Linked DNA regions of Mus musculus. The protein of the gene in region 1 binds, or shares a complex with, the protein of each later gene. Links are inferred from orthologs where the notes say so. Each region holds a gene or a part of one and is shown on either strand. Other genes may lie near its edges.

Evidence for each region. The genes of interacting proteins can lie anywhere in the genome.
Region 2: Trrap (region 1) and Tada2b share a complex: the UniProt entries of both Homo sapiens proteins name them as parts of the TFTC-HAT complex. The link is inferred for Mus musculus from reciprocal best matches to the Homo sapiens genes TRRAP and TADA2B.
Region 3: Trrap (region 1) and Ruvbl1 share a complex: the UniProt entries of both Homo sapiens proteins name them as parts of the SWR1-like complex. The link is inferred for Mus musculus from reciprocal best matches to the Homo sapiens genes TRRAP and RUVBL1.

What each region holds. Positions count from the first base shown.
Region 1 is NC_000071.6:144,817,279-144,820,850, forward strand, and holds part of Trrap (transformation/transcription domain-associated protein), read left to right. Parts: intron 1-318; coding exon 319-525; intron 526-656; coding exon 657-815; intron 816-913; coding exon 914-1,042; intron 1,043-2,423; coding exon 2,424-2,534; intron 2,535-2,969; coding exon 2,970-3,116; intron 3,117-3,572. UniProt on the Homo sapiens protein: Adapter protein, which is found in various multiprotein chromatin complexes with histone acetyltransferase activity (HAT), which gives a specific tag for epigenetic transcription activation.
Region 2 is NC_000071.6:36,481,434-36,485,600, forward strand, and holds the start of Tada2b (transcriptional adapter 2-beta), read right to left. Parts: upstream 2,853-4,167; 5' UTR 2,625-2,852; coding exon 2,355-2,624; intron 1,657-2,354; exon of another isoform or gene 1,575-1,656; coding exon of another isoform or gene 1,545-1,574; intron 1-1,544. Other genes in the region: Ccdc96 (coiled-coil domain-containing protein 96), read left to right, coding at 3,219-4,167. UniProt on the Homo sapiens protein: Coactivates PAX5-dependent transcription together with either SMARCA4 or GCN5L2.
Region 3 is NC_000072.6:88,463,959-88,468,260, forward strand, and holds the start of Ruvbl1 (ruvB-like 1), read left to right. Parts: upstream 1-1,450; 5' UTR 1,451-1,569; coding exon 1,570-1,710; intron 1,711-3,607; coding exon 3,608-3,694; intron 3,695-4,302. UniProt on the Homo sapiens protein: Possesses single-stranded DNA-stimulated ATPase and ATP-dependent DNA helicase (3' to 5') activity; hexamerization is thought to be critical for ATP hydrolysis and adjacent subunits in the ring-like structure contribute to the ATPase activity.

The DNA of each region.
Region 1 (3,572 bases):
CACAGGTGCCAGAGAGAGTTGATTCCTTTATCGTTATGTCAGTTCTAGGGCTTAAACCCAGGGTCACAGTCTTGTGTGGTACCTTGATTGCTCAGTCATCTTTTGGGTTTCTAATTCTGACCTTCCTGTCAAACAGCTTTAAAAATTTGTATATAGGGAGAGGGAGAGAGAGTTTGGTCTGCATGATGTATGTATGTATAAGGTGTGTGGTGTGTGTGTATGCATGTACATACATATGCATACATGCTATGTGTGCAGAATACACAGGGAACAGAAGAGAACATCAGATTCCCCTGAAAACTGGCGTTTCTCGTCTAGGTTTTCCACAGTCTTCTCAAGGCTCACGCAATGGAAGCCCGAGCGATTGTGAGACAGGCAATGGCCATTTTGACCCCAGCAGTGCCAGCCCGCATGGAGGACGGACACCAGATGCTGACACACTGGACTAGGAAGATCATCGTGGAGGAGGGGCACACGGTCCCACAGCTGGTGCATATTCTTCACCTCATAGTGCAGCACTTTAAGGTATGGAAAGTGGCAGCAGATGTGTGTGGTACAGCCTCGGGTGCTGGCTTCGAGCCCCTACTCTTCTGTAACAGGGGTGGCCCCTCACCTTTTAGTAAACGCTGACATGACGTTGGTCCCTGTGTCTGCAGGTGTACTACCCGGTGCGGCACCACTTGGTACAGCACATGGTTAGTGCCATGCAGAGGCTGGGCTTCACACCCAGTGTCACCATTGAGCAGAGGAGGCTGGCCGTGGACCTCTCCGAGGTTGTCATCAAGTGGGAACTGCAGAGGATCAAGGATCAGCAAGTAGGACTGCCAGCCTTGGCTGTCATCTCTCCTCCGGCTCCTTACTCTTCTCCGGGGAACCACTCAATAAAACCTGCTGTGTCTTTGTGTTTTTCAAGCCGGATTCTGACATGGACCCAAATTCCAGTGGAGAGGGTGTCAACTCAGTGTCCATTAAGAGAGGCCTGTCTGTAGACTCTGCACAGGAGGTGAAACGCTTCAGGGCGGCCACTGGAGCCATCAGCGCAGTAAGGACTTGTGTTTCCTGTGTGTGCTTGCTCTCTCCTGGGGCTCTGCATATAGTCCATGCGTTTTGAGTGTTCTTGAGCCAGCTGTTCCAGAGGCAGCTGGAAAGGGAACTGGGAACAGCTCTAGGGCCCAACACCCACTAGAGGTCTTTGCATTTCCTGCCATTCCTCTTCACTGGCTTAGTACCATTGGGGTCTATTAGTTATTTATAGAAAAAGCCAAAAGAGGAAACTGAGCTGTAGCAGAGCAGCCTAGACAATGCCAGCAAGGGGCTGAGAGTATCACCTGCTGATGGGTGTGTGTGTGTGTGTGTGTGTGTCCTGCTTCCAGTCTGCAGTGAGAAGCTAGGGTCAGCTCAGCCGTAGAGCATCTTTCTAGAATCCCGCAGTGAAGGGGCTGGAGGTGTGGCTGACAGAGCGCTTGCCCAGCATGGGTAAGGCCCTGGACCCCGTCCATAGCAAAAGAAAGAAGCAAGGGGAACAAACAAAACATGCAAAGGTTGAGAACGTGCGCCCACTTTCTTGGTTTTTGAAAAGACAATTTGCCTGACTTCTGCAGCGCAGCCTCCTAGAGGGTCTTGGGCACTGGCTTTTCACTTGTGGTTAGAATGGCGGCCCTGGGAGCCTTGAGCTCTGTTCTTGGCTGGCATTAGGGCTTGTAGGCACTGGCTGGGCTGACAGCACTTCAAGATTCTTCTCCAACTCTTGCTGGCCTGTCTGTTTAGATGTCCCTACAGGTGCCCAGGACTCCAAGTGGAAACCTGGACCCTCTGTTTAGATGTCCCTACAGGTGCCCAGGACTCCAAGTGGAAACCTGGACCCATCTCTGCCTTTCCCATTCACTTCTCCTGAGCATCCTTCACCTTTACCCCAGATTACTTCGTGCAGCTCCTGTCACTGCTGATAATGCCTCTCACAGCAGAGTACCAAAAGCCTTTCTTTCCTCCCTTAAGTTAGAGGAAGCCGGGTGAAGGCTGTGTCGGACCTCTGCTGCGTTTATAACTACCTCAGGAGTGTTTAATCATTTGAAGTCAGTGGTCTGTTCTGCCAGAGCCCTGCTGTTGGCTCACGTCTCCTTTCACTCCCCTACCCAGGCCTCCTCTACACTCAGCCTCCTGGCTCGCCCGTTCCCTTGCCACTGGCTTCTTCTCAGACACTGCCATCTTTACCTGCCACGTGCTCTCTTTGTCACATGGGCCGTCACTTCTCACTGCTAGTTTGTGCACTAAGTGGTGTGCCCCTGCCAGCTCTGTGCGCTTCACAAGGCAGGCATCCCCCGCTCTGGAGTCCTTCATGCCCATAACCTGGGAGGCGGCGACACTTGTCTGCTCTCAGGTCAGGATGAGTCCCCATAGGAGGTGCTTCCTGTGGCCTTTCCTAGGTGTTCGGGAGGAGCCAGTCCCTGCCGGGAGCTGACTCTCTTCTTGCCAAGCCCATTGACAAGCAGCACACAGACACTGTGGTGAACTTCCTCATTCGAGTGGCTTGCCAGGTATGAGAATGCATGACAGAGCTGCCTAGCAACCTGCAGAATCTCAGAAAAATTCATTTTTCTTTTTAATTTGGGGTGGGTTCTTCAATCCTTAAAGCTGTCAAACAAAATATTGTTTTGTGAAGTACTGGAGATTGCTAAGACTTTCAAAGAATCCTTTGGGCTGCCAAAGCCCTTGTTTTCTTGCAGTGCATGGGGGTCTCATGTGTGGGGTCTTTGTGCAGGTATCCCTCTCTGGAAAGCAGGCCCTGTTCTCAGCTACCACAGGCACCTGCTGCAGGGGAGTGTATAGGTGCAGAGACCCAGAGGGAGAAGGAAGTCTGGGCATTGGGGAGGATGCATGGGAGGCAGAGTGCTGAGATGCAGTGTGCACATCCCTGCTCTTCTGTACCTGTAAGCGGGTGTTGAGTGACCACCTGACTGGCGTACTTGCAGGTGAACGACAACACCAACACGGCAGGGTCGCCTGGGGAGGTGCTCTCTCGCCGCTGTGTGAATCTTCTCAAGACCGCTCTACGGCCAGATATGTGGTGCAAGTCTGAGCTCAAACTGCAGTGGTTTGACAAGCTGCTGATGACCGTGGTAGGTGTGCAGGCTGCTGGTTGATACTATCACCTGGCTCTGGTCTGAGCCTGAGTCTCAAACCCAAGCTCCGCACGTCTGTGCCCACTCTGGCCTCTTACACTCTGTCTTCTGGCTCTCTGAACTTGACTCTAAAGTTCAAGTTTTCAGTCAGCCCAGAGAGCTTAGACTAGGTCACCTGTGTCTGTCATAGTTTAAATGCATTTCTTTCTTCCCTTGACCTAGCTGGCTTGGTATAAGCTGTTGTGATTGATAAAATTACTCTTCACAATGAGTTAGGATTTGTAAAGCCTTTCTTTTCTTTTCTTTTCTTTTCTTTTCTTTTCTTTTCTTTTCTTTTCTTTTCTTTTCTTTTCTTTTCTCTTCTCTTCTCTTCTCTTCTCTTCTTTTCATTTCTTGTTTTTCAAGACAGGGTTTCTCTGTGTAGCCCTGGCTGTCCTGGAACTCACTCTGTAG
Region 2 (4,167 bases), about 110 Mb from region 1:
GACTCCTGCTGCTTCAGCAGGTAGCAGCAGTCCATGCACACACAGGCAGTCAAGCCCCAAGGCTCTTCCCCTTGGTCTTTACTTCTTCCAGCGCTGAGACTGGGCCTCATGAGAACCTGCCCCCTGAACAAGCTCCTCTGGCCTTCAAGCCTGAAAGAGCTGCTTCAGAAGAGGCCTTCCCCAGCCTGTCTGTTCATCCACATTTTCCGTGTTTTAGTTCCTGAGTGCTGGGCTTCTGACTGCGCTGCACAAATGGGCACAAACACTAGCTGAGCTACACTACAGACTCTACAGACCGGGCTTGCATTTCCTTTTTAACAAAGTAAGATAGAACAAAGCCAAAACACTGAAGTTGGACAAGACAAACCAACAGAAGCAAGTGAAAGGGCATAAGAATCAGAGACCCACTCGTTCACACTTGCAAGTCCCATAAAAATACTAAACTGAAAAGAAAACTATATACATAGAGGACGTGGTGCCGCCCCATGCTGGCCCAGACCCATGCTGGCCCTGTGCTTGCTGCTTCAGCCTCTGTTCATCTGAGTTCATCGGAGCTTTGCTCAGCTCATTTAGAGGGCCTTGTTCTCCTGGTGTCCTCCTGACCTCTGGCTCTTATATTCTTCTGCAGGGTTCCCTAAATACAGCCCAGATTTCAAGAGCTAAAGCAAGCGCAGTGCTGAGACTAACACTCTCACTCTTTTCAGTGTCTCCTCTGGAAATAAGTGCTAGAGGACTGGTGTGAGGAAAGAAAGGCTCTCAGAAGCAGTGACACGCAGGCCAGAGATCAGTCAGTAGTCTTGACTGAGGTGAGAACACCTCAGGCAGAAGAAAGGAAATGATCAATGGACTCCGCGTGAGCTCACAGAGAGCCATAGACATTGTCAGGCCCTGCAGGCACTGGAGTGTAATCTAAGAAGCAGAACTGAAGTTGCTGAGGGCCAACAAGATGCGGCTTATGCTCCAAATGCCCTATGTTCATGTGTGAGAAGGGTTACAGAACAGAAGGAAGAGAACGGTAAAACCATGAGAAGTGATCACGAGAGGTAAGCACCATCATGGGTCAGGCCAGAAGAGTAGGTCAGTAGCTACATTATGCACATCTTTTCAATACATGACCACTGACCAATTGGATGTGGTTGATGGCTTTAGGTTGGCTCTGTGTATAACTGAGGACAAGTGAGTCTTCACAGGCAATCAGGTAGAGAGGGATCACCAGGTATGCGACAAGCTCCAGAAACAGAGCATATGAATGCCACACTTTCAGCACTGAGGCTCTTCTTCAAGGTCCTTCATGTTGCCTGATCTGTACAAAGCATATGCGCAATACACACCAATAAACACCACTTAGAGACAAAGTAACCCATTGTTTTTAGAGAGCAGGAGCCAGTGTTGCTCACTGGTAAGACATCTGTGGAGTAGACTCCTTCCTAAGTGGGGAAGTGGGTCCAGAAGGTCACTCATTCTACGACGATCTGAAACAGGAGGGCAGTAGGGTTGGAGTAGGGGAAGCTCGGGGAAGCTAGGGTCAGAGGGCCCTAACATACCAGGGAAGAGTCTGGACAGGAGAGGGTCATGCCGAGCTCCCTGCTTCTCTGAAAGCTTGAAGATGTGACATATTCTTGGAGGCAATGGTGACAATGCAGCCAGATCTCATCCCTAACATAGGTGAGGAATAGAAAGGAGAGCTCCTTAGAGACAGCCAGAGAACAACCAGGAGCCCAGCACACTATCTGGCTGGCACACATGAAGGCTCTTACTACCAGTGAGCTACCTCTACAGAAACCTGACAGCTAGAAAGCAGACCCCAGGATCCATGCCTCTTCAGGAACACGCCTTTGTTCATTCTTTACTGTCCACCCATCACACCATGTCCTGGGTGCTGTGGAGACTAAGACTTAAACAAGATACTGCTACTCATTGAGAACCTTAGCACAGGGCACATGCTGACACCCACAGAAAGCACACGAAGCCCTGAATGCAGACTAAGTGCAGGCGGGACGGGCAGCCCCAGGCTTCTGGCCTTCCCCACCACTATGCCCAGGAGAACACAACCGTACTAGGGGAACTCAGCAAAGGACAGTGGGATCTAGCTTGCTGCCATCTGACTCAAGGATAAGCCTGGCAACGCACAGGGCCTACCCTCTACCCGCGTTCAATGCACACCTCTTGAGGACGAGTGTGAAGGGCAGACAGCTCCGTGTCGGGGCAATGGGTCAAGGCCCTGCTCTACCAGCTGTGTGACCGCTGGTGACCAACACGTTCCGGACACAACCATCCGACCACCTGCGGCCCTCCGCAACGTACACCGAGCCAGCCAGCCATGCCCTCCCTTCTAGCCGTAGCCCGCCGCTCACCCAGTTGCCGAAGCCGAACTGCTCGATGGCGTCCAGCAGCAGCTGCTCCTCGCGGCTGGTCCAGCCGCCCTCCGCCTCAGGACCCCAGAGTGTGAATCGTCCGCCGTCTACCAGCTGGTAGCCGTGGTAGCGGCGGTGGTGGCCGATCTCCGCGCCGGCCGAGAAGCACTCGGGGCACAGCTCGATGTCCTGGCACTCTGTGCAGCGGAAGCGCAGCGGGCTCACCTCGGCCAAGCAGTACACGCAGTACTTCTTACCCAGCTCCGCCATCTTCCCCCGCTCGCCCGCCGCCCGGCCCGCAGCCGCCGCGCCCCCGGCCGTCAGCGCCCCGCCGCCTGCCGGGCTCGCTGCGCCCGCCGCGCCCGTGCCGCTGCCGGCCGCTGCCACGGCCGCCCCCGCCCAGGCGCCGCCGGAGCCGGCCAGGCGGGCCGCGTCCCGCCTCAGCACGCAGGCGCCCTCCGGCCCGGCCCGGCCGCCGCCGCCGCAGCCGCTGTCTCCCCGCCGCATCGCGCAGGCGCCCCCCGCGCGCCCTCTCGCGGACAGCCGAGTCTTTGCTCTGCGCCTGCGCGCCGGCGCCTCCCGCGGCCTCATGGACTGGAGGAGCCGCGAGGCCCCGCCCTAAGCCTGTCAGCCGGCGGGGCGCGGACCGGAAGTAGGCCGTGCGGGCCACGCCTCTCGGGAACCAGCGTCCAATTAGCGCCTCCCTTCACCTGTTCGCAGATCTTCATTGGCCTAATATTGCCGGGAGGTGGAGAGAAATGGAAGGCGGGTGACCAATCGCGGGGCCCACCGCGCGCCCTGGTTGCCCCGGGAAACCTAACAGCAGGCATCAGCCGGCCTCAGAGCGGGGCCGGCGGGTCGAAAATGGACAGCCACTACGGGGACATCGAGGGCAAAGACCGAGCCGAGGAAGGCCTGGCCAGGCAGTCGCTCGAGATCAAGGTTAGCTCCGAACCTCTGACTCCGGCCAACCCTGTAGAGCAGGAGCCAGAGCCGAAGCCAGAGCCGGAGCCGACGCAAGGGCGGGAGCCTGAGAGCGAGACCCAGCCGGTGTCGGACAGCTCAAAAGCGAAGGATTCGGAGGGGATCGATTACGCGCATGTTGAGGTCCCGGAAAGTCCGGGGGCCGCTGAGACCGCGGGCGAGGCCGTGTCCCGAGAGCCAGAGAGTCTGCCACAGACCCAGCCCAAGACCAAGCCGGAGTCCAAGGAACCAGAGGACAAAGACGAAGACGAGGATGAGGACGAGGATGAGGACGAGGACGAGGACGAGGATGAGGATGAGGATGAGGATGAGGGAGAGGAACGGGACAGGCCAGAGAAGCCGAAGGGCAAGGGGAAGAGGGAGAAGAGGAAGGAGTCACGGTTCCGGCCATCTCTACCGCTGACCACAATTGTTGAGGAGGGGGCTGCCCCAGGCCCACAAGCTGCGAAAGAGAAAGCAAGGGAGTCACTGAAGAAGAGAGACAGTGAAGAGATCGAGGGGACAGATCGAGAACGACACAAAAGCACAGAAGAGCAACTTCACCCTGGAGAGGCCAAGGAAGAGGAGAAACAAAAAGGGGCGTCCACTGAAGAGTTTGAGTGGACAGCGGACATGCAGAAGCTGCAAGAGCAGCAACTGCGCGGCGAGCTGGTGGAACAGTACCACTCCCTGCTAGTGGAGCGGAACCGTTATCAGCGCTACAACATGTACCTACAGCAGAAGATTCACGAGACCCTACGCAAGAAGGGGCTGGAAGCAGCGGCGGAACCTGGGGACAAGAGCGCTGAACCCGAATCTCCCGAGAAAGAGCAAGCATACTTGCGCTATC
Region 3 (4,302 bases), on another chromosome or scaffold:
ACTCTCTATTTTTACTCTGTCTTTATTTTACTCTAGAACTCTCTAGCTGCCTTTCATCACAGTCTTCACTGCTACAGTCTCTAGGCTTGTCTTCTTCATATTACCGGCTCAGCCCACAATACTATTAATATAGGTGGAAAGACTGAGAAATCAAACAATGGGCCTAAAGTTGCACCACAGCTACACATTGCACAGCACAGGAAGGTGTCTCCTGGCTGACTTAAAAGTGAGGAAAGTGAGGGACACAGGAGGCAGAGGCAGGTGGATTTCTGAGTTTGAGGCCAGTCTGGTCTACAGAGTGAGTTCCAGGACACCCAGGGCTATACAGAGAAACACTGTCTCGAGAAAAAAAAAGTGAGGGACACCTGCTTAGAGAGCCAGAATGTTGAGAGAGTAAGCAAGAGTGTTTGCCGTCCTTAGTATAGCCCTTCTTGAAAATGAAGCATTAAATTTGGACTATGGCAAGGTGGATTGTGAAAACAAACTACCATATTTGCACCAATATCAGAGCCGTTGATTATTCAAATGAAGGACCATAGTTTCACCATTCACAGGCAGCTTTTGTTCACCTACCTGGAGACTTGCACCCACTCCAGACTGATGAAAATATCTGGTCAGAGTATGGTGGTAGCACCTTTAATGCCAGCAACTCAGGAGGCAGAGACAGGTGGGGGCCCTGGAGTTTTAGGCCAGGCAAGGCTACACAAACACATCTTCTCTTTTCCTTCCTTCCTTTTTTTCCTTTAAGGGTTTTTTTTTTTTTTTGTTTGTTTGTTTGTTTGTTTTTTTTTTTTTTTTTCCGAGACAGGGTTTCTCTGTATAGCCCTGGCTGTCCTGGAACTCACTCTGTAGACCAGGCTGGCCTCGAACTCAGAAATCTGCCTGCCTCTGCCTCCCGAGTGCTGGGATTAAAGGCGTGCGCCACCACCGCCGAGTTTCTTTAAGGTTCTTATTGGGCATATGATGACCAGAATTATGGCATGAAGTGTTTGAAAAGTTTTGGCTGGAATAGTGCCTTCAGGATCTAGTGTATTCTGGAAAAAAAAAAATGGGAGCAGTGGGGCATTCTCTGGGTGTCTAAATAATTCGGTGAGCACTGGAGAAGTTTGGGCAGCTGCTTTGCTGATGATTCTCTCAGGACATCCAAGCACCTGGAAAAGATTTAACATCTGTCAGTGAAGAAGTTAACTCACCCTGGCACAAATATGTTATTCTAAAGAAAAAAAATAGGCATTAAAAGAGGCATTTATAATTAAAAACCTGTCATTCACATTAATAGTGCTTAAGTACTTAAGCAGTTCTCAGTCAAATGTGGCCAGGGCAGGAAATGTTTGCCCTGGGGGAACTTATCCTGTGACACAGACGGAAGTTACTGGGCGAAACTCAGCAGCCGTGACCAGCGTAGCTTTTAGCCAATAGAAAGCGAAGCCTTCTCGCCTCCCCCAATGACATATTGATAGGGGCGGGTCCAGGAGAGCGGCCTAGTAACGGCCGCGTGGTAACCCAGGCGCCTGGCGTGCGGTAGTTCCTACCACTCCACGCAGGTTGTGTTCCTAGACACTCGGCAAAATGAAGATTGAGGAGGTGAAGAGCACCACGAAGACGCAGCGCATCGCCTCCCACAGCCACGTGAAGGGTCTGGGGCTGGACGAGAGCGGCCTAGCCAAGCAGGCGGCTTCGGGTCTCGTGGGCCAGGAGAACGCGAGAGAGGTGGGCGTGGGGCTTGTGCGCGAGGTGTGGGCGGCGGGACCAGGATCCACTAAGATCTAAGAAGTAAGGATCACACTAGCGAGCAAAGGCTGCATCCTTTGCGGGTCACGGCACGCAAATTAGACCTCACCGGAAACGCAGTGGAAGGCTGTGCGGTTAAGTATAGAATTGACTACGTTTTCAGAGTTGATATGGGTTCTTTGGGCCTGGGAGCTGATCTGTTAAGTGGAGCGGTGAGGACTGTCTGATCTATTCCCCATCCAAGCACTCCAGCTTTTCCAGGTCAGTCTTCCTAAAGTCATGCCAGGTCTTTCTATCGGTTCTGTTTTGCACATGAAGAAGTTAAAGGTGGGTTAGGCCGCTTAACCACCTGCCAGTTTAGCAGTAATGAGGCTGGTATCTCCCTCCCCCTAACCCCCATCAAATCAGTATTCTTCCCATTTCTTCAGCCTCCTCCACTCTGAACTCTGCAGAGGTTCAGTGTCTACAAAAACTTGCTTTTTTACATGTGGTGAAGACTGCTTTCTCAGCCTCTTGCACACAGAAAGTGCCAGCAGCAAAGAGCATCATCTATCCAAAAAGGGAAATGTTTGACCCTAGCATGCTTGCATCTTTTCTTGCAAGCAGGTAGTAGCAGTTTAATGCTTTCTATTGGCCAGGCAGCTTTGAGTCTATTGTTTCTTATTTCATTTCTGTCCATGTGACATTTCTGTGTATGTGACTTCAGAGGCTGCTCTAGACCTGCATCTGCACCCACACCAGCAGCCTCTGGTACTCCATATCTTATCCTTCCTATTCTTTGAATGTTAGCCGGTATTTATTTTTGTTTGTTTTCACGACAGTCTCACTATGTAGCTCTGGCTGTCCTGGGACTCTGTAGACCAGACTGGCCTTGAGTTCACAGGGATCCGACTGCCTCTGCCTCCTGAGTGCTAAGATTAAAGGTGTGGGCCATTACACCTGGCTTCCTTAGCTGATATTTCTTTGTTTCTTTTCCTGTTTGACAAAATGTGCGCAAATGCAGTGCAGTCATGTGACTGCCATGGTGCTCTGGTAGAGGTCAGAGGTTCTTTCCTTCCACTGTGGGATCCAGGGATTGAACTCAGGTCCTCAGGTTTACACTACAAGTGCTTTTCACCCACTGAACCATCTCACCAGCCCTTGCCAATTCTTTTATTGGGTGGATTCATAGCATACATACCCTTTTTGTTTAGATAATGTTGCTGTAGTCAAACTGGCCTGGAATGCACAGCCCTGCAGACTCTGTTAAGTACTAGGTCTGTGCTGGTCCCTGCTTGCCTCAACCTCCCCTTTTCCATTCTGTTCACTATACTTTGGCTGCTGCAGCATGTTGTCGCTTAGACATACCAAACTTATGCTTTGGTTATTTTGAGTTTGCAATTTTTGTCTGAAATGTAGATTTCTTTTTCTTTTTCTTTTTTTTTCAAGACAGGGATTCCCTGTATAGCCCTGGCTGTCCTAGAACTTACTCTGTAGACCAGGCTGGCCTCAAACTCAGAAATCTGCCTGCTGCTGCCTCCCAAGTGCTGGGATTAAAGGCATGTGTCACTACTGCCCGGCTGAAATGTAGACTTCTGCCCAGGGCTTCAAATGTTACATACAATGTATGAGAAAGTCCCCCTCCACCCCCACCCCACCCCCAGCCCTCGGTAGCCACTCAGCGTCTCATTACCCTTCTCTCTTCGTGGCAGCAACTATACGGTGTGAGCTGGAGCACGTGGCTTTGCTACCTCACCTCCACCGCTCCACTCCACAGCACAGCACTGGTATCACAGCTGTCTCGTGTCAAAAGAGTGTGCGAGCTGTGTGGACCAAGCCCTGAGCTGGTTCCACCATTATGCATTTAAGACTGACTGTTTCTTTCTGTTTTGTGCAGGCATGTGGCGTCATTGTAGAATTAATCAAAAGCAAGAAAATGGCTGGAAGAGCTGTCTTGTTGGCGGGGCCTCCTGGAACTGGCAAGGTGTTCATTCATTTTCTCTTTCTCTTTTTTAAGCTACCCAAGACATTGATATTGATGTTTAAGCTCCATTGAATTCATGTCTTAACTAGTCTCTGTCTAGCTGGAATAGTTAAATGAATGGTTTAAAAACCAATGTGCAGTTTTAATACAATTTAGCATATAAAATCTGTGGTCTAAAATTAAAATTACCCTGGCCTACCTCCAGAGCAGAGGTAAAGTCCTTGGAGGGCACTTTAAGAGATGTAGGAAGATTGGCCTTACAGGGAAGGAAAGGACTTTCTAGGCAGGAGACACCGTGTTGGAGATTTTGAGTGGACACCCACTGTGTGTGTGTGTGTGTGTGTGTGTGTGTGTGTGTGTGTGTGTGTGTGTGTGTGTGTTTGTGCATGCTTGTGCACATACTTGCACATATGCACCACAGTGCATGTGTAGAGGTCAGAGGACATCTTTCAGGAGTTGCTTTTCTCCTTCCGTTGTGGTGTCTGGAAATCAGACTCCATGCTTGTGTGGCAAGTGCCTTTACCTACTGAGGCATCTTGCTCACCCCACCCCACCCCACTTTTTTTTTTTGAGGCAGGGTCTCTCTCTCTTGTATCCCAGCCTGGCCT